5 linked regions of the Nothobranchius furzeri genome follow. The protein of the gene in region 1 interacts with the protein of each later gene in a biochemical or structural test. Links are inferred from orthologs where the notes say so. Each region holds a gene or a part of one and is shown in the gene's direction. Other genes may lie near its edges. The genes, in order: wdr5, setd1ba, setd1a, kmt2cb and chd8.

What was found.
Region 2: the proteins of wdr5 (region 1) and setd1ba interact in a test that uses a peptide from one of them, tested with the Homo sapiens proteins (3 studies listed by BioGRID, with this or other methods). The link is inferred for Nothobranchius furzeri from reciprocal best matches to the Homo sapiens genes WDR5 and SETD1B.
Region 3: the proteins of wdr5 (region 1) and setd1a form a complex in vitro, tested with the Homo sapiens proteins (4 studies listed by BioGRID, with this or other methods). The link is inferred for Nothobranchius furzeri from reciprocal best matches to the Homo sapiens genes WDR5 and SETD1A.
Region 4: the proteins of wdr5 (region 1) and kmt2cb form a complex in vitro, tested with the Homo sapiens proteins (4 studies listed by BioGRID, with this or other methods). The link is inferred for Nothobranchius furzeri from reciprocal best matches to the Homo sapiens genes WDR5 and KMT2C.
Region 5: the proteins of wdr5 (region 1) and chd8 form a complex in vitro, tested with the Homo sapiens proteins (2 studies listed by BioGRID). The link is inferred for Nothobranchius furzeri from reciprocal best matches to the Homo sapiens genes WDR5 and CHD8.

Annotation. Positions count from the first base shown.
Region 1 is NC_091746.1:41,695,529-41,699,555, forward strand, and holds the start of wdr5 (WD repeat-containing protein 5), read left to right. Parts: upstream 1-1,217; 5' UTR 1,218-1,404; intron 1,405-2,211; 5' UTR 2,212-2,237; coding exon 2,238-2,315; intron 2,316-2,501; coding exon 2,502-2,610; intron 2,611-3,016; coding exon 3,017-3,090; intron 3,091-3,641; coding exon 3,642-3,731; intron 3,732-4,027.
Region 2 is NC_091746.1:51,994,326-51,997,840, forward strand, and holds part of setd1ba (histone-lysine N-methyltransferase SETD1B-A), read left to right. Parts: coding exon 1-65; intron 66-325; coding exon 326-424; intron 425-703; coding exon 704-974; intron 975-1,786; coding exon 1,787-1,908; intron 1,909-2,053; coding exon 2,054-3,154; intron 3,155-3,515. UniProt on the Homo sapiens protein: Histone methyltransferase that catalyzes methyl group transfer from S-adenosyl-L-methionine to the epsilon-amino group of 'Lys-4' of histone H3 (H3K4) via a non-processive mechanism.
Region 3 is NC_091745.1:9,169,485-9,172,999, reverse strand, and holds part of setd1a (histone-lysine N-methyltransferase SETD1A), read left to right. Parts: coding exon 1-1,001; intron 1,002-2,672; coding exon 2,673-3,024; intron 3,025-3,154; coding exon 3,155-3,336; intron 3,337-3,515. UniProt on the Homo sapiens protein: Histone methyltransferase that catalyzes methyl group transfer from S-adenosyl-L-methionine to the epsilon-amino group of 'Lys-4' of histone H3 (H3K4) via a non-processive mechanism.
Region 4 is NC_091751.1:52,963,884-52,967,859, reverse strand, and holds the start of kmt2cb (histone-lysine N-methyltransferase 2C), read left to right. Parts: upstream 1-1,166; 5' UTR 1,167-1,187; intron 1,188-3,718; exon of another isoform or gene 3,719-3,945; intron 3,946-3,976. UniProt on the Homo sapiens protein: Histone methyltransferase that catalyzes methyl group transfer from S-adenosyl-L-methionine to the epsilon-amino group of 'Lys-4' of histone H3 (H3K4).
Region 5 is NC_091751.1:63,449,442-63,452,956, forward strand, and holds part of chd8 (chromodomain-helicase-DNA-binding protein 8), read left to right. Parts: coding exon 1-4; intron 5-842; coding exon 843-1,053; intron 1,054-1,168; coding exon 1,169-1,364; intron 1,365-1,442; coding exon 1,443-1,613; intron 1,614-1,693; coding exon 1,694-1,984; intron 1,985-2,074; coding exon 2,075-2,295; intron 2,296-2,374; coding exon 2,375-2,577; intron 2,578-2,668; coding exon 2,669-2,825; intron 2,826-2,899; coding exon 2,900-2,989; intron 2,990-3,055; coding exon 3,056-3,159; intron 3,160-3,298; coding exon 3,299-3,422; intron 3,423-3,515. UniProt on the Homo sapiens protein: ATP-dependent chromatin-remodeling factor, it slides nucleosomes along DNA; nucleosome sliding requires ATP. Acts as a transcription repressor by remodeling chromatin structure and recruiting histone H1 to target genes.

The DNA of each region.
Region 1 (4,027 bases):
GAAGATATCGTCAAATACTTTTCGTTTACAGTGAAAAACGTGGCGTAATGTACGAATGAGACTAAATGACTAAATAAGCGAGATGGTTTTACTCAAAATGTATTAAAATGTAGGTTTGGACAAAGCGACATGATTGGCTTTAAAACGTTTCAAATACTTATCGTGAAATAAAAACACAAGTATGCACGATGTTCGTTAGCATAAAGTTAGCTAGCTGGTTTGGTAAGGGACACTGCAGCGGATGACAACACACTTTGTGACACCGACTGTTGATATAAGTTTCGAAATACCAACTACAGGTTTTGGTTAAGTAACGTTTGCTTTAATTTGGGGCAAAATGTAGCGCCAATAAATAAGCTTGAATTAAATTATCATATAACGAAGCGAAGAAGTCCGCTTCTTTAAACACCTATTGTTGTTATGGAGGAGGCTAACCGCTAAGTAATGAGTAAAAATAAGAAAATAACAACAGAAGTGTTTACCAACTCATTTAAGAGGGCGTGTTGACATGGGAGCTTGACGCTGCACGGCTTGGAAGAAAGCTCACCGAAGCCAAAACAAACTAGTGAACACCAGAGTGCAGTGTGTTCAAAAAGAACTAGAAACTTCTTCCCCGACCTATTGCAGCCACGGCTGAAGGGACAGGTCTGGTGCTCATAGCGCCATCTGTTGAGCCGGAGAATCCAAAGCGCGTTCACAGCTGATTTATGGTAAAAGTGTGAAATCTGCATTTCACAAAATCATATTTATAATTGTGGAAAGTATTGAGCTAAAAAGTAAATGGTTAGGGTTATATAAATAAATGCAAGTGATTTACTATGAAAATATCACAGTCAGTAGTTCATAACTACATAAAGCATAAAATAAGGTTACGACGTATTAAAGATATGTAATTTGTTTGTTTTATTTAGATTTTTGTTTGCTGTGTGTTTGTTTCTGTTTCATGTAGACTTTTCCTTTTTGCATATTGATTGACTCTGACAGCCACAGCCTGGTTTTTAAATGGCTACTGCCTTTCATTGAAATTTAGATGAAGTATTTCACATAATGTACTTCTACAAATTCTCTGTTGAGAATTTTTGTCATTTTAAATTTAAAAAATACAAACTTGTAATAAATAAGATTAATTAAAACTATTGGGCTCTTTTCAAACGGCAGTCGAAACGATTTTTTCATAATTGTCCCTCATTAGTTCCCGTCACTTTTGAACGTCATGCGCCTGCGCAAACTGTAAGCACATTCCCCGCTTCACCTCGCAGCTCGTTCCTTTACCAGGCAAACATCCTCAAGCAAATAGCTTGATTTGTTCTTTGTTCTATCTCTCTTTAGTTATTATACGGACTGTTTTAGATTTCCAGGATTTGCAAGGAGTACCAGTCTGACTGTAGATCTAAATTGATCAACGTAAGTATCGGTGTAAAACCGAATCTTCATTGTTTCAATGGAGGCCCCCTTCGTGGCTGCATAACTTGTCAACAGCATCAACTGCATGTCAAAACTGCGATTAGCTTCTTCATATAACTGTGGCGTTCATGCCAAAATACATTTTATTCCGCGAGACAGCCTCTAATCTATAGATCTTCACGTTGTTTTGTTCGAAGGTAACCCAAGTATATTCAGGTGTTGAACTTTACAGCGAACGTACTCGTTCTCCCTTTGTTTGCTTTTATTTTTCGCATAAATAATAATTCGAAGCAAAAACGAGCTGGTGTCAATGCATTTGAAGGCAACACAAGATGGTAAACGGTAACCGGACAAGGGGGTTGGCCTCAATCGGTTTTCATAGTAAGAGCAATTTAACGTTAGCTAACTTCAGCTAGCTGCATTAGCTAATTTTATAGCTAAACGGACCCTAAACGGGCATTTAAATACTTTTGAGCATCACAGCCTATTAATAAGCCTAATTAAAGTAAAATTTACATGATATATACTTAATTTATCTTATTTAAAGTAAACCCCACTGTTTATTTTAGATCACAGTAAAGGAAGCTAATGCTAACAGATAAAACAATAGTTTTTAATCACGTTTACCTTAATGGTGGTTATTAGCAGTCATCGAGCTGGAGGGTTTATCTTATTTCTCCAAACTTTAAAATTCCGGGTGTTAGAAATTGTAAAATTTCCACCCAATAACTTATCCCAGTTGTTTAATCTTTAGGTTTAACTTGCCTGATTTATTAACTTTTTTTATGGTTTCTTCTTTTGTCTCAGGTGCAATAGATGCTGATTTCCTCACCATGGCAACAGAGGACAAGAAACCAGAGACTGACACCAAGCCTCCAGTTGTCCCATCAGCCTCTGCTAGCCAAAGCAAGGTCTGACAAACCCAAGTTTTGGCATTGCCTGTAATCTCCCACCCTGTCCTCTTATGATAGTTTAATTCTAAGTTTTTGTTAAGGACTGTCAATATTCCAGCATTATTTCGGATTTTTTCTTTCTTTATTGAAAGTATTTCATCATGTTTATTCATTTGCTAAATTAGAACTGGTTTTCTTTTGCAGACTGCACCTGCAAAACCAAACTACAGTTTGAAATTCACACTAGCGGGACACACTAAGGCTGTGTCCTCGGTTAAATTCAGTCCAAGTGGAGAATGGCTCGCCAGCTCGTGTAAGCATCTCATTTTGAATCATATCTTGTTTAAATCTCAGCTACCTCAACATAAATCTTCTTTCATTCCATAATAAAATGTATTGGGTTTTGTGAAACTATGTTTGATCCAGAGCTTTTTTTAAAGTTTGATAAAACACTTGTACTGCATAGATGAAGTGTATTTTGTGCTCTAAGTTAAATGTAAATAACAATAATAGCAGTGCTTTAGTGACTAAATATTCTTATGCAATTGTGAAATTTTTATTGGTTTTAGTATTTATCTTTGGGTACACTCGTTTCATTTGAATATCTGATCAGCTGAAATGATTGAAATGGGGAAATTATATATTTTTTACCATTTTGCAACTTTTCAGTCATTTTTTTTCTCTTTTTCATGATGTCTTTTTCATTGTTTGTGTTACAGCTGCTGATAAACTCATCAAAATCTGGGGCGCTTATGATGGCAAGTTTGAGAAAACCATTTCTGGACACAAACTTGTGAGTAGAAGGGACCCTTACCTGTGGCACTGTTGTGTTTCTGCCTGCAGGACTGTATTAGGTAGAGTTTCACCGCTTTTACTAAAACATCAAAGACTCCTCCCACCCTGGTCATTACTGTTTTGGACTCTTGCCGTCCAGTTGGTGCAAACAATCCCCTTCCCCACAGCAGTAAACTAAATGTACTAAAACCCTCTCATGCGCATTAGAGCAAAAACCTCAGTCACCAGTGCAATAAGTCTAATATAAAGTGAATACATTTACTGCTGCTACATATCTAGTAAACATGTACTTCTGTTTATATATTTATATCTGTTCTTTTTTTCTTCTGTTATTCCAAACACACCATTTGAGTGCCATGCAGCAGCAGAGGGTATTCACATGCAGTGAATAATAAAAACTTTGAGTCTGATCTGTTTGGTCGTTCAAAGCAAGAACAAGATTGTATTTACATTTTTAGAAGATAAACATGAGAAATGACTCCATTGTTTACTCTTGTATCATTTTATGTCCTTGAAGCCTTGAGATCTTAGAATTTCTTTATTTTCCAGGGAATATCTGATGTGGCCTGGTCATCTGACTCCAACCTTCTTGTTTCTGCGTCGGATGACAAAACTCTGAAGATCTGGGACGTTAACTCGGTAAGAATGTTTTAAGGTGTGGTTCATTGAAAAACCTTTTTTAATGATTATTTTAGTTACTCTGAGGTTTTTCATGCAGGCTGAACATGACAAAAGTCTCCTATCTTCTGGATTAGCTAGAAAATAGATGGTGAAAGTCTAGGGTTAGAAAATCCTGACAGATCCACGTTACACTGTCACTAAACATTCATGGGCTCACCCATCTTGGCTCATGACGAGGACGGCTATTGTTGGTTTAGCGTCCAGAAAACAGCATAGAACATCTCGGCTGGTAGAAGCTAACCGTTAGCATTAGC
Region 2 (3,515 bases), about 10 Mb from region 1:
ACCCGGCGCTGAAGAAGGGATCACACAAACTGTATCGCTACGATGGACAGACTTTCAGCATGCCAGTAAGTGCCGCCTTTGACGCGGCGTAACGGCTACAATAGTAACCGAGTAGCCGACCTCCATGATGCGTTACTACAGCGGCCGCGTTGCCCCGAATGTCCAGGGGGATTGTTCGGCATCTTTAACACGGTGTTTCCGGAGGGGGTGTGATGGCTGGGCTGAACACCCCTGCTTTCACCAGGACTACTTTGCAACAAGTTCGTGTGTGAACTTGTTTACGGGATGGTTAATAGGACTGCCTCTCTCTCTTTCTCTCCTGCAGAACCCTGGGATACCACCGGTGGAGATCGTCCGAGACCCGAGGATCGGTCGTCTCTGGACCAAGTACAAAGAAACGGACCTACCGGTGCCTAAGTTTAAGGTATCTACTGTGGCTGGAGTCCCACGCTGCGTTTCTCCCTGTGGAAAAGAGGTGCTGTCAGAAGTTGCAGACACACCCCCTCTCTGTCATCTCTGGGACCTGAGCTAAACCCGTCGGGAGGATTTTAAAATCTCCATTCACATATTCCAGGACAGAGTTCACCCACACATTTACTGCAACCTCGTATTTCTTTTCTTATCGTAGCTGCTTCAGCTCGCCTCCAGCACGGTGCATCATTAACCCAACGGCACTTATTAACTCCTGTCCTCCTCCTCCCAGATCGATGAGTGCTACGTCGGCCCCGTGCCTCCGAAAGAGGTGACGTTCGCCCGGCTGAACGACAACATCAGGGAGGGATTTCTCACGGACATGTGCAAAAAATTCGGAGACATCGAGGAGGTCGAGATCCTGTACAATCCGAAGAACAAAAAGCACCTGGGAATAGCTAAAGTGGTTTTTGAGAATGTCAAATCCGCCAAGGTGGCTGTTCAGTCGCTGCACAACACGTCTGTGATGGGAACCATCATCCACGTGGAGCTGGACCCAAAAGGTAAACAACAGAGCTCCATTCATTCACATCGAATATGCTCAGGCACTGTTTTATTCTCTCAGATAGTTTATCAGAAACGCAGATCTAAAAAAAATCACATACGTGTGCTTTATTGGTTTGTTTTGGGTTGTCTGGATGACAGCAGTCACGTGCTGAAATTTACGTGCGTTGCTTGGTAACGTGGGATAATTGAATTTCATTGAAAATGAGCCTGTTCCCACAAGCTCAGAGCTGAGGGTGCTGTGTACTCCCTCTGTGCATAATTTCAGATCTGCAAACAAACACAAACCAATCTGTCACAGTCCTCCTCACCTCAGTTCACACCAAAGTGCTTTATTTGACCTTTTTTATAGCAAAATGCCTGATTGATCTTTGTTGATGCAAACCTCCAAATGTAAAGATTATTCCTCAATTGCTATATATGTATGTATGTATGTATGTATGTATGTATGTATGTATGTATGTATGTATAGCATCTGTGCTGATTCAAAGATTTCATGTTTTAAGCGTCACTATGCATGTTTCCATTGATTACACATAAACTCGTAATTTGCATGTATTTTTGTTAGATATGCAGACATGCTTTGGTCCACGCTCAGTCACATGTTAGGTTGCTTCATTGATTGAGAAAACGAATGCATGGCGTGATGAGGGATTGATAATCGATCGTGGCATTTTGTAAGGCTCCTACATTAGAAATGATCAGCTGTTCAGCATCATTTTCAGCCACTGTGAATTAGTGCCATTTGTTGAACAATTAACCCCATTATTAGTCTTCCAGTACTAAGCATGTCTTGTTTACTGTACTGCAGGTGAGAATCGCCTGAGGTACTTCCAGCTCCTGATGAATGGCAGCTACACTCCAAGGACGCTGCCTGTTGGTGTAGAGGAGACCCGGGAGGTTTCCCCGCGGAGCCTGGCTGAAGCGTTACTGGTCAATTAAAACTTTATTGCTGTTGTTTTAGTTTGAAATAACTTCTTAAGTAGTGTCAACATTCATTGTTTACAGCCTGTTTTATGCTTTGTGCCTTTTTGGGACATCCGTTGTTGACTGGTATCCTCATTTCGTTTTGTTCCAGGCCTGCGAGCCCATCCGCAGGTTGTCTGAGAGCAGCATCTCCTCTGTGGGAGGAGCGCTGCCGCCCAGCAGCTCTACCACTCCCCTGAGCTTGGAGACCGGCTACTCCAGCTTAAGGCAGGACACCCCCCAGTCCCAGGGAACCCCTCACACCCCACGCCAGCCAGGCACACCCTTCTCTCAGGACTCTAGTTTCTCCAGTCGGCAGTCCACGCCTGCATACCAGTCCAGCCGTCCCGAGAGCTCCGGAGGCTACAAGTCTCGGAGGCACGAGAGCAAGTTCCAAGATGCGTACAATCGCAGACCAGAGAGGCCGCAGTATCGCAGCAACATGTATCGCAGTACGTCGTCTGAGCAGGCTCCTTCAAAACAGCACCAGCTCACCCCGCCTGAACCTCCACCTTCCACCACCTCCTTCAACTACTCCGCGCCTCCCCCCACTACGCCTAACTTCAAGTCTGCCTTCTCACCCTACCAGGCACCTTTGCCTCCCGCCTTCCCCCCATCTGAGCCACCTTTTCATCACCCATCCCAAAGGGAGGGTGAGTACCTCCTACCTCCGCAGCCTCCACTGGCAGCTCCAACTGACTTTTTACCCGTCAAGGAGAGACCAGAAACTCCTCCCATCCCAGAGCCGCCACCTGAACCTAGTCCCCATCCGACTACCCCTCCCCCCCAGACCCCGGAGGACTGCCCCTCGCCCGGCTCTCCGGTGCTGGACTCGGAGCGTAACAGCCTGGATTCTCGCATCGAGATGCTCCTGAAAGAAAAAAGGACAAAACTGCTGCCGTTCCTGGAGGAGCGGGACTCGGACAACGAGGTGCGCATGGAGGGAAGTCCTATTTCCTCCTCGTCCTCCCAGCTGTCCCCGATCCCACCTTACACTGGTAGCTCTCAGGGTGGCCAGCAGAATTCCCGTCCCCCAAGTATGGGCTTGGAGGACATCAGTCCAACCCCACTGCCAGACTCGGATGATGACGAGCCTGTTCCCGGGATGTCCTCATTGGTTGGAAGAGTTGGCTCTCCTGTCCACGAGAAGAGCAAAACTGACCTCAAGGACGGGCCCTTTGGATGCCACAGTCCCGCTGATAAAACAGACACGGTAAGACGGAGACACATGTCTCCATACCCAGTTGGCACGAGAGGCTGTTGCTGGTGTGTGCAGGTGTGAATGACAGTTACACAGGGACACAGGAAGTCAGGTTTAGCTTAAGCGTGAGGCGGTAGTAGTAAAGCCTTTTGTGTCATTGGTTTTGTTCTGCCTTATAAAGGAAATTCTGGTTTCTCAGCTGCGTAGTCTCATGGGTAAAGTGAAAGTAGTTTTTTTTTAAGTTTGGTATCTTCAAATCAGCACTAGCACACTTTCTAAGCTCCTCCTGAGTGCTGGTAGCAGGTGTTGGTGAGTTATTAGCTGCCTCAGAAGTTACAGAAGCACGCTCAGGTAGCTTTTCTATGGTTTTACT
Region 3 (3,515 bases), on another chromosome or scaffold:
AGCTTCTGCCTTTCGCCTCAAAACCAGGAGAAGGCAATGCCCTCATTGTCCCCCCTCCTGGACGAGCCCAGGATTCAGAGGAGACCAAAAAGGGACCTTTTGTTATCACGCACACAACTTCTGTCAAGTCTCCCAGCAAACGGGGAGCAGGCAAAGACTCTCCCAGATCTCCCGCCCCTATTATGATATGCCGCACGGTGCAGAACCTTCCATTGGACCATGCTTCTATGTGTAGGATGGCCTTTGAGGAGGCCCCTCCACCACCTTCTGTCAAGCGGCCCAGAGGCAGACCTCGGACATCCAGCATTTCTGCTTCTTCCTGTCACTCCTTCAGAGAGGATGACGAGGATGAGGAGGAAAGTGAGCTAAGGTTAAGACTTAGAGAGCAGGTGGGAGCTTCCAGCCTCCTGCAGCTGTCCTCGGCCTCCACAGCTGACCTGTCTGTGCTGGCTGATGTAGCCTTAAAAATGGACCCAGATGCTGGGGACTCTGAGGAGACAGAAACTTCTGATGAAGCAGAAGAGCAGAAAATGGAAGGAAATGTCCTCTCTCCAGAGTCGCTGGCTTTGCTTGTAAGTCCTGGAGGTGTTATCGTCCTTTTGGAGCACAACTACTGCAAACCTCCTTTACTCGTAGCACCATCCACTTCCAAAAAGGCTTCCTCTAGACAAGATTCCTCCATCTTAGTCCCGACAGACCTCAATTCTATTTCTGGGGTCCTTGAGGCTCCAGAGGAAGTGATTGGAGAGGCGTTACCGTCCAGGTTGTATGCTGGAGACTACCTGCCTTCAGCGGGAGAGCTGAGTGATTCTGATGATCTGAGCCACGTGGCAGCTGCAGCGCCATCTCCAAAGAAGAAACATTATCCTGGGAAAGGTTTAGAACTTGAATATGACAAGAGTGAAAAGAGGAAGAGAAAAGATAAAGAAAACCTTGAGCCACACCATTCACGGAAGCAGAAGGAGCCGGCAGGCAAGAAGCAGAGGAAGCAGAAACTAGAGGTACGTGGTTTCCTGCAGATGGCTGAGTCATCCTCTGCAATCTCTCACAACTTTATTTTTTTTATTTTTTGTGCACAATTTTTATTAAGGTCATAAAAGCTGGTATAGTTTGTTTAGGTTTATATAGACCAGTGTCTATTTGGCTTTGTTCACACTGCAGGTCTTGATGCTTAATTCCGATTATTTTTTTGTATGGTTGCACGCATTATAACTGAAATGCAACATCAAACACTCTCCAGTGTAAACGGTTCATGACCCCAAAGTGACTCGCATGCGCAGAAGATAAGAAGTCACACTCAGTGGAGTCGTGGAGAGGTGGAAGCCTTCACTGAGAGTTCATCCGTAATTTCAGGATCACACCTGGAAACTATTTTACTCCCCTTTCCCACCATCCTACCTTAATAGTATTCCCAGGAAATGTTCCGATGCTACGTTCATTCATGGACAAACACCCCAGCCCTCTCTGACAGTGACCGGGGAGACGCTTTGCTCCAGCAGCACCCTCCATTCATACTCGCTTCTATTTAATAATCATTTCAGTTCCAAAACTTGACAGGACGTCTAGACAGACCTCTGAATCCCTCCTTCAGCACTTCTTCTCGGAAACGTGAACACACGTGCTCACCTCTGATGATCAGTGATAGAGGAGGCAGATTTGATGCAACATGATCGTTCAGACTGAAGTTGCTTTCAAAAACATCAGGATACGTATTGGATTCAGTACCACATATGAAAGTCACTTGGATTGGATTTGAAAAAGTCTGATCGGTGCTGTTTTGGCTGTTAAAAAAACAGAAATGGGTCACACATGAGAAAAACTTGGATTTGATGCGCTTTTGCCTGCAGTGTGAATGTAGCCAATGTGAGATATTCCCACTACTGCAGCAGAGACGATAATAAATGAGAGCTTTATCAGTCCTCTATAGCAGTGGTCCTCAATAGGCGGCCTGCAGGCCTTCTCTTTGTGGTCCCTGAACCCCGCGTGCATCCACACACCTAAAAACATTTTTTTATTTATTTACCCCCCCCCCCCCCCCCATTTTCTAGAAGCTGACCGATATGAGTTTTTTCAAAGGCCAATGCTGATTTTTAAAGAATTTTGTTGCCGATTATTAAGGCCTATATATACGTTTTAGCAGCACATTGATTGTGAAAGACACTGTGTGCAATATAAATGAAGTAAGTCAGTAAATCTCTGATTATTTATTGAACTTCACATACAAAACAAGCTCAAAACATTAAAAAATTGGTGTGTTGGGGTCCTTCGGGTCCTTTCTTCAGTCTAGTAGTGGTGGCAGTTGGTCACACAGATGCCTGATTTTTTTATTTAAAAAAAGTTATTTTTATTTATTTATTTATTTATTTGCAGCTTTTAAAAATAATTTCAGCCAATATAGAAACAATGTAATATATTGGCCTTATATATTGGTTGGCCTCTACCATTTTCACAACAGTTTGCTCTAGCTGTATGTTCTGTGTTACAGATTATTAGAAGTTCTTTTCAGTTTGGTCATTTAAAAAAATAAAAGTATATGATTTTGCCTCAATAACCGAAAATGGCCAGTTCATATATTACCTCCTCTTGACCACATTTGTGTCATGATTTGTACTAGATGTCAGTAAATCCTAAATAGACCCAAATCCAGTGACAGCTGACTTTTCGTCCTCCAGGATTCTGACTTAGATGAAGATGTGGACGTGGAGGAGCTTGAATCTGGGGAGCTCTCCAGCTCAGACACTGATAACGAGATGGCAGAAGACGTGAGGAAGAGCGAACGCCTCTTTCTGCAGGAGGCGGGGGTGACTTCGCCACGCAGGCTGAAGCCTGTTCCTGCACCTGAGCTGCCACCTGTTAAGTTTGAAAACCGTAGTGAATTTGAACAAATGACCATCTTGTATGACATCTGGAATGCTGGTCTGGATGGTGAAGACTTGACCTACCTGAAGAAGACTTATGAGAAGCTGTTACAGGACGACCACAGCTCCGACTGGCTCAACGATACTCACTGGGTCACTCATACTGATATCCTTTTCAAACGCTAACTGCTCAGATCTTTTCCTGACATTTCCTGTACCATGTATTACTATTTAATATGACTAAGATGAAATGTTTACACATTTCTGATGTTTCATCCTTGACTCTTGAGCTGCACTAACCAATTTACCAAACCCTCGACGCAAAAAGAAGAACACAGATGGACAGCTTCGAGAGCATGTGACTGGATGTGCCAGGAGTGAGGGTTACTACGCCATCAGCCGCAAGGAGAAGGACGTCTACCTAGACCTGCATCTTCCCGAGCAGGTCATACGGGAAGTTGAGAATGTCGATACCTCAGTAAGTAACCTCTTAAATCGGAGCTAATTCATTTGATATGAGCTTTCCTCTTTGATTTATTTAAAAGCAACAAAAAAAAGTTGTTAAATGTAGGTATAAGTTACAGAAATAAACTCGCAATAGCTTCTAATGCTGGTGTGAAAATAACGATGGGTTTCCTTTGAGACAATTGTAGACGG
Region 4 (3,976 bases), on another chromosome or scaffold:
TACTGAAATCTCCTAGAGTTATATGTCAAAGATTTGGTTTCAAACTAGAAAAATATAATGAATCTGCGTCTAAAGCGTTTTCGCTTTAATGTCATTTACCCAGTGTGTTGGTGCCAGGGGCGTGTCCAGAGAGTGGCCTGGATAGCACATGTCACCCTTGGAATATTATTGGCCACCCTGCTGAGTTCCATTAAAGATAACTACATCATCCACAAAAGGACAAGACCTGGACGTGCCACTGGTTCATTTTTGCAGGTGATTATTTTTAAAATGCATGAAAAATAAAAGCTTTCATTATTCAACATAAAAGAAACATGAGCTTTGATTTAAAAAAATATATTTTTATAGCATATTTACTCTGCAATGGGTCACCCACAGTTGCACTTAAGACATTTTTGAACTTATCCATATTATGATAAAATTTCCATTAGACATATTTTTTATCTTGTTCATTGTTATTATTAGTAGTAGTAGTGGTGGTGTTATATTATTATTATTATTATTATTATTATTATTATTATTATTATTAGTAGTAGTAGTAGAAGTAGTAGTAGTAGTAGTAGTAGTAGTAGTAGTAGTAGTAGCAGTAGCGGTTTTAGGCACGGGCAGACAGGGCAGTTGCCCGGGGCGGCATTTTTTCATGACACAAAAGGGGCGCACAAGCGCTGAGTAAAAAAAAAAGAAAAAAGAAACCTGCGCCGCACCGAGGTTTTCTATTATCTGTCATATGACAGTGTCTGGATTGGAAACAGCAAGTTGGCGCCCCCTGCAGCTGCAGGCGCTCCGTGCACCGTGTGTGTGTGTATGGAGAACAGGAAGGGGAGGGGTGCGGCGGGAGAATTCACCTCTGGGTGGGTCCAAATGAAATGAGCTAGGGGCTGAATCAACTGTATCAACATGTTTAAAGTCGATCACATCTTGATGTTCTTCCATATTTCATTCATAATATCATAAACACAGGCCTATCATTCTTTCAGGTGTTTCTGAATTGTGTGAAATGGCCAAATAAAAAAGGAAAAACAAAACGATTTTGTGTTCACCCCCCCATCAAGGTCAAATAGTTTAGTCCTGACTAAAGGAAACTTATTGAGTCAAGAGCCAAACAGAAGAGATGAACATAAAAAGGCTAAAACCACCAGGTGCCCGATTCAGGAAAAAAAAAAAGAAAAAAGAGGAGAAAGATAAAGGTATGTTCGCTCTCATGATGCATGTTTTCAATTTTTTGAACCAGTTAACTGGGATTTTAACGGTTAAATTTGGTCAACTAATTGCTAACAGAGCTAATAGGGCTGAAATATTTAAACGAATATTCAAATGGTTCGAAAAAATTCCTTGAATCGTTTTTACTGATTCAAACTAGGATTTGTTAAATGCTCACTGCAGCCTGTGGCCCGCCTGAACAACAATAAACACATGTTGATCATGTTCACATAATAATAAATAAAACAACTCTACAAGCAGAAGAGAACTCCCCAGTCACCACTAACTATCCTGTTTATTTATTGCAGATGGCTCTACTGATTATTTTTTACATGATTTGTTCTGTAAAAGTTGGCATTTTTGGTAGTCTACAGTTTTTTTATGTCAGTTTAAATTACAATTTCAGAGGCAATTGTAAAATATTATGGATCATGATAAAGATCTATTGGAGATCTACCCCAACTTTTGGACTGCTCTGCCAGTCACTGTGGCTCAAGCTGAGAGGAGCTTTTCAAAACTTGATCAAGTCATACCTGAGGTCACCTATGTTTCAGGGGCGGCTCATTCACCTGGCTCTGATTAGTATCAATCACTCAGTAGGGGAGCAGATTTCATGTGATGACATTATTGATGACTTTGCATCAAGGTTAGGTTTTAATTTTAGTTTGTGTTTTCTGTTCTAAGTGCAGTGCTGTATAGTGATTATCTTTAGTTTGTTATGTGTTAAATATTTTTGCTATTTAGAATATTTATTATATATTATGTGCATATATTCTTAATATTTAGTTAGTTTAGTTGTTTTTGTATATTTGATTCTATATATTTTGATACAGTGTATAATGTATAGTGCTTTACATTCTGACAACTTCATAGTAATTAATGTAAATATGTGCAACTTAGAAAAATGAATGTTCAATAGTCGTTCTAATAAAACCTGCCTGTTTGTAGAAAACGTGTGTTCGTGCAGGTGGGGCGGTGTGGTGGTGGTGGGGGCGGTTGGGGGGGGGCGCTCAAAGGGGGCCTCGCCCGGGGAGTAATTCCATGTAGAACCGCCACTGAGTAGTAGTAGTAGTAGTAGTGGTGTTTATTTATTCGTTTAAAATTTCGTAATCAAGTAAAAAGTCAATATTTTGCATTGGCCAGCAGGTGGCGCGCATAGCTTAGGAAAGAAGTGCCATGGTTCATGCAAAGAATCGTTGACGTTTACCTACATTATTATCATTAACACTAATAATGTGGGCGTCTCACGAAGGAAATAAATAAAATGTGATTGACTGAGTAATTGAAACGCAGAACTTGTGATAATACACAACATTTTTGTTTATTTCTCATGCATGTGCAGGCTGAAAGACAACCCCTGGGGACCTTTAGGAAAGTTAACCCCTGCATGTGCAGCGTGTCTGGCAGTATGCAGGTTCCTTAAAATGCAATGCCTGGTTTGCAAAGGTATTGTGTGTTGTTTGTGAGTGTACGTGCGCGCGCCCATGAGTTCACGTTTGTTGCTGTGGGGGGTAGGGGGGGAGTGGGAGGGGGAGGGGGGGGAGATAAAATGAGGACGCTGTGGTGTCCCTGCCAGCATGAGGTAACATTGCGCGAGGTCTAAAACACCACCACTAATGCCAACTATCAGTACTCATATTTTTTAAAGAAACCTGGAAAGCTGACAGTGAGTTTCTTTGCTTCTTTTGGGAAAACATTTGCATAAACTGGAGCGTTCATTGTTGACCGTTCCTCTCCAAAAACTCCAGAATCCGCCTTTTCGCACTTACCCTGGCCATTATTTTATTTACTAAATGCTCATATCAATCCGCAGGGTCAGAGAGTATTTTGAAGAAATCGTAAAACGACTTGGGTGCAATTTATTGATGCCTGTGTTTTATCCGTGCGCTTATATATTTGCCAAACTCTTGAAATACTAATTTTAAATAAACCACGACGATGTGAAAATACGTGTCTGCTGTAGTTCTGCTCGGACGAGGTGGATCTAGTTTTTTTAAGAGCCTAGGGGGAGGAGGGTCTGTGCTTCGGTGCCACTTATCATTAGATATGGCCACCGTTATAGAGTACGCCGAAGCGTCATCCTCAACTTAATTTTATGATTTTTCTCATATATTTTTCAGCTCACATCGTTCGGCGGACACACTGTTATTTTGGGCAAGCTAATGTTTGTTTCTACACGTTTTTGGAGCCGGTTGTTACTGCGTGGCAGGCTGGTTGCGAGAGTCTCCTAACTGGCCGCTTCTGCTTGTCGCAGCTGAAGAAAATAGAACCAGTTGCCAAGCCAGCGGTCGGAACCGAACGTTTCCTTCTCCTCGTCGTTACACGTTCCTCAAGAATTTGAAGTTTTATCCACCGATTGGTTGCTCTTCTTTTTTGACAGCCACATGTGTTTTGGCTCTTGTTTGTTTTCATGTTAATGATCAAATTTTTGGGTGGCTAACATCAACTAGCTGTGTTACCCGAACTCGACAGCTGTCATTGGAGAAAAAGGAAAGTGATCTCCGCAAATGCCAGTGAAGCGGTTTTCTTTTGGATTTACATCAACGGCTTTTCCATCAAATGGGCAAAGTTGGGAATATCATTGCAACGCTGGGATATAATGATATGCGCTGTGCATTTTTGAGAACTGCGGTCTTGTTTCATTGGAGAGAAGCTAGCTGCTAGCTGGCTGGTTGATAAAACGTTTCATCCCCCCATTATTTTGGGACATGAAGAGGACAATTCGCTGTCCATAGGGCTGGGAAGGTAATATACAATGTCAACTTTCATTTCTTTT
Region 5 (3,515 bases), on another chromosome or scaffold:
AACGGTAAGGCTGAGGGGCGCCACAAACGATTGTTTTCTTATTGCACCAGGATGCAGCTGCTCTAATTCAGCCATCATTAGTTTCTAGTTTCAAGTGTGATCCGTTATGTGCAAGCTTATCAAGCTTATAAAACAACAGGGCTCTCATGTCCGTCACCAACATGTTTAAAATCGCCCGGTCAGAACCTTTGCTTGTCGACGTGTGCATGTTGGCTAGGTAACAAACTCGTCGAGCGCTTTTTTAATGCTGTAAGGTAGCGAGATACAATCAATCGTTGGCGTTTGTAACGTAAGAGCAAATAGGTGACATACGTGTGCTAAAGGTCACGAAATTGCCATCATTACTGTTGTTGCTACAGCTATGAACACAAGTAGCTCCCTGTTGATGTTAGCAGCTAATGAGAAGTAATTAGCTTACAGAGGCGACTGTCCGTCTTTGTTCTCCGCCATGACGAGCTTCCTTTGAAGGTATTCGTGCATGAACATGCTCCCGTGACAAGATTTAAATGTACGTGCTTCTCTTTTGTCTTTGTAAAGTGCTCCAAACTTTTGAGCTACGTTGCCGGCTTGCCAAGTCTTGTTTTTTCCAGTGACGCGACGGCTCAGCCGGGCGGCCACATGTGCCTCGAACAAAAAGGCAGAAAGCAGCAGTGGTGCTGCAGCGGGCAAAATTTATAAAACGCTTCATAGAATAAATGACGTTGACTTCAATTTATTACCGACTGTTTTGTTTGTTGACGTCATCATGACGTAACAACTAATCGTGGCAGCACTAGTACGGCCTAACATCTTTTAAAAAATCAGCTACCCAATTAATTACTGTTTCCTTTTTCCTTGTTCAGGCGCAGAGGAGAAGATCGTGGCGGAGCTGCGGCAGGTGTATGACCCCCTGGCCCCTGACTTTCATTTGCAAGCCCTGATTCGGTCAGCTGGGAAACTGGTGCTTCTCGATAAGCTGCTGCCCCGTCTGAAGGCTGGAGGCCACAAAGTGCTCATCTTCTCCCAGATGGTGCGCTGCTTGGACATCCTCGAGGACTACCTCATCAACAAGAGGTATAAACATCTACACACATCGTATTTTATCTCTTGATGGTGCAAAGTAACTTTGACATTATTGAAAGTTTGGGGAAACTTTGAAGAAACCTTCATGGGTTTTGTATTTCTCCAGGTACCTTTATGAACGAATTGATGGTAGAGTGCGTGGGAACCTGCGACAGGCAGCCATCGATCGCTTCAGCAAGCCAGACTCTGATCGTTTTGTCTTCCTCCTGTGTACTCGTGCTGGTGGTCTGGGCATCAACCTGACTGCTGCTGACACTTGTGTCATATTTGACTCTGACTGGAACCCTCAGAATGATCTGCAGGTATTGTGATGTACTAACGACGGGTTTTAAAGCTTTCTGTTCTGCCTCCACACCTTTTTCCCTTCTTTTTTTTTTCAGGCCCAAGCGAGGTGTCATCGTATTGGACAGTCAAAAGCGGTCAAAGTCTACCGTCTCATCACCCGGAACTCCTACGAGAGGGAGATGCTGGACAAAGCGAGTCTGAAGCTCGGATTGGACCGGGCTGTCCTTCAAAGCATGAGCGGCAACAAAGACAGCAGCGTCAACGGGGTAACGACTCGCTAGGCTGGTTGCTCACGTCACGTCTCATTGGATCTCTTGTCTAAACAATTTAATGTCATGTTTAACAGCTCCAACAGTTTTCCAAGAAGGAGATTGAAGATCTGTTGAGGAAAGGAGCCTATGCCGCCATCATGGATGAGAATGACGAAGGCAGCCGGTTCTGTGAGGAAGATATTGACCAGATCCTTCAGCGACGAGCCACCACCATCACTATTGAGAGTGAAGGAAAGGGCTCTACTTTCTCCAAAGCCAGCTTTGTGGCCTCTGAGAACCGCAATGACATCGCCCTCGATGATCCTGAATTCTGGGAGAAGTGGGCCAAGAAAGCAGATATAGACATGGATTCTATCAATCAGAAGGTGACGCTTTGGTGTTTGATTTTAATGGAGAGATTTATGGCTCACACAGATGGATATCCTCCTAAATCAGTTTGTTCCCTCCCCCTGCAGAACACACTGGTGATCGACACCCCCAGGATTCGCAAGCAGACCCGTCAGTTCTCCACTTTACGTGGCGAAGGTGGAGACCTGTCAGATCTAGAGAGTGATGACGAATATCCACCTGCTAATTCTAGACATTCGCGTGCTTCTCGCCGCTCTGATCGCCACAGCGGAGGAGGATACGGACGCACCGACTGTTTCCGGGTGGAGAAACACCTGCTGGTCTATGGGTGCGAACATGGTGTTTCCCTTTTATTTCGATGTTAAGCGGTCTTGTTGACGTTGCCTTGCGGGTTTGATCTGCTGTAGGTGGGGTCGCTGGAGGGACATCTTGTCTCATGCCAGATGTAAGAGGCGTCTGAGTGAGCGTGACGTGGAAACCATCTGCCGTGTCATCCTGGTCTTTTGTCTGCTGCACTATCGTGGTGATGAGAACATCAAGAGTTTCATCTGGGAGCTCATCACTCCTCCAGAGAATGGCCGAGAGCCTCAAACACTACTAAACCACTCTGGTATGAGGCTGTCATTTTCTCTTTTCAGTAGTTAAATCAGAAGACTAAATGAACTGTTGACATGTTTTTGTGTTTTTTTTTTTTTATTCAGGCCTTTCCATCCCCGTTCCAAGAGGCAGGAAGGGAAAGAGGGTGAAGGCTCAGAGTACGTTTGATGTGCAGAAGGTTGAGTGGATCCGCAAGTACAACCCTGACACTCTGCTGCTTGATGACAGCTACAGAAAACACTTGAAGCACCAGTGCAACAAGTGAGTGAGGCCAGTCAGACGCTGGTTCATGTCAACGACTTTGATTTAAGCTGAGATGTTTCCTCCGTTGTCAGAGTGTTGCTGAGGGTCCGGATGCTCTACTACCTCAAACAGGAGGTTATTGGTGAACATGCAGATGCTGTCTTGAAAGGAGCTGAGATCAGGTATTTGATGCTTCTTGTTTTATTTAAAGGTTCAGATTCGGTTACTGAGACGCCGTTTGTCTTTAGGGACGTGGACATCTGGATGCCAGAGATGGAGCAGCAGGAGGTGCCTGCTGTGTGGTGGGACGCTGATGCAGACCGCTCACTTCTTGCTGGTGTTTTCAAACATGGTAGAGTTACTTATTAAAAAAAATGAAGGCTGACTTTTTTTGGTTCCTGTTGGACTGGACCGTTTCCTGATGCTGGGACTTGATATTTGTTTTAAAGACGTTGGCGTTTAACTGATCTGATTTTGCAATTGGTTACCAGGTTATGAGATGTACACCACCATGCGAGCCGATCCCTGCCTCTGCTTCATAGAAAGAGTCGGTCGGCCTGACGACAAAGCCATTGATGCTGAGCAGCAAACCGGTGACGCGGAGCTCGGGGATGAGTAAGTTACCGCTGCTTTGTTCTGCCTTTCATAAATTCTACTTTTGTGATTAGAAAGTGGTTCTAACTGCTGATATTCAAACGGGACCCCTCA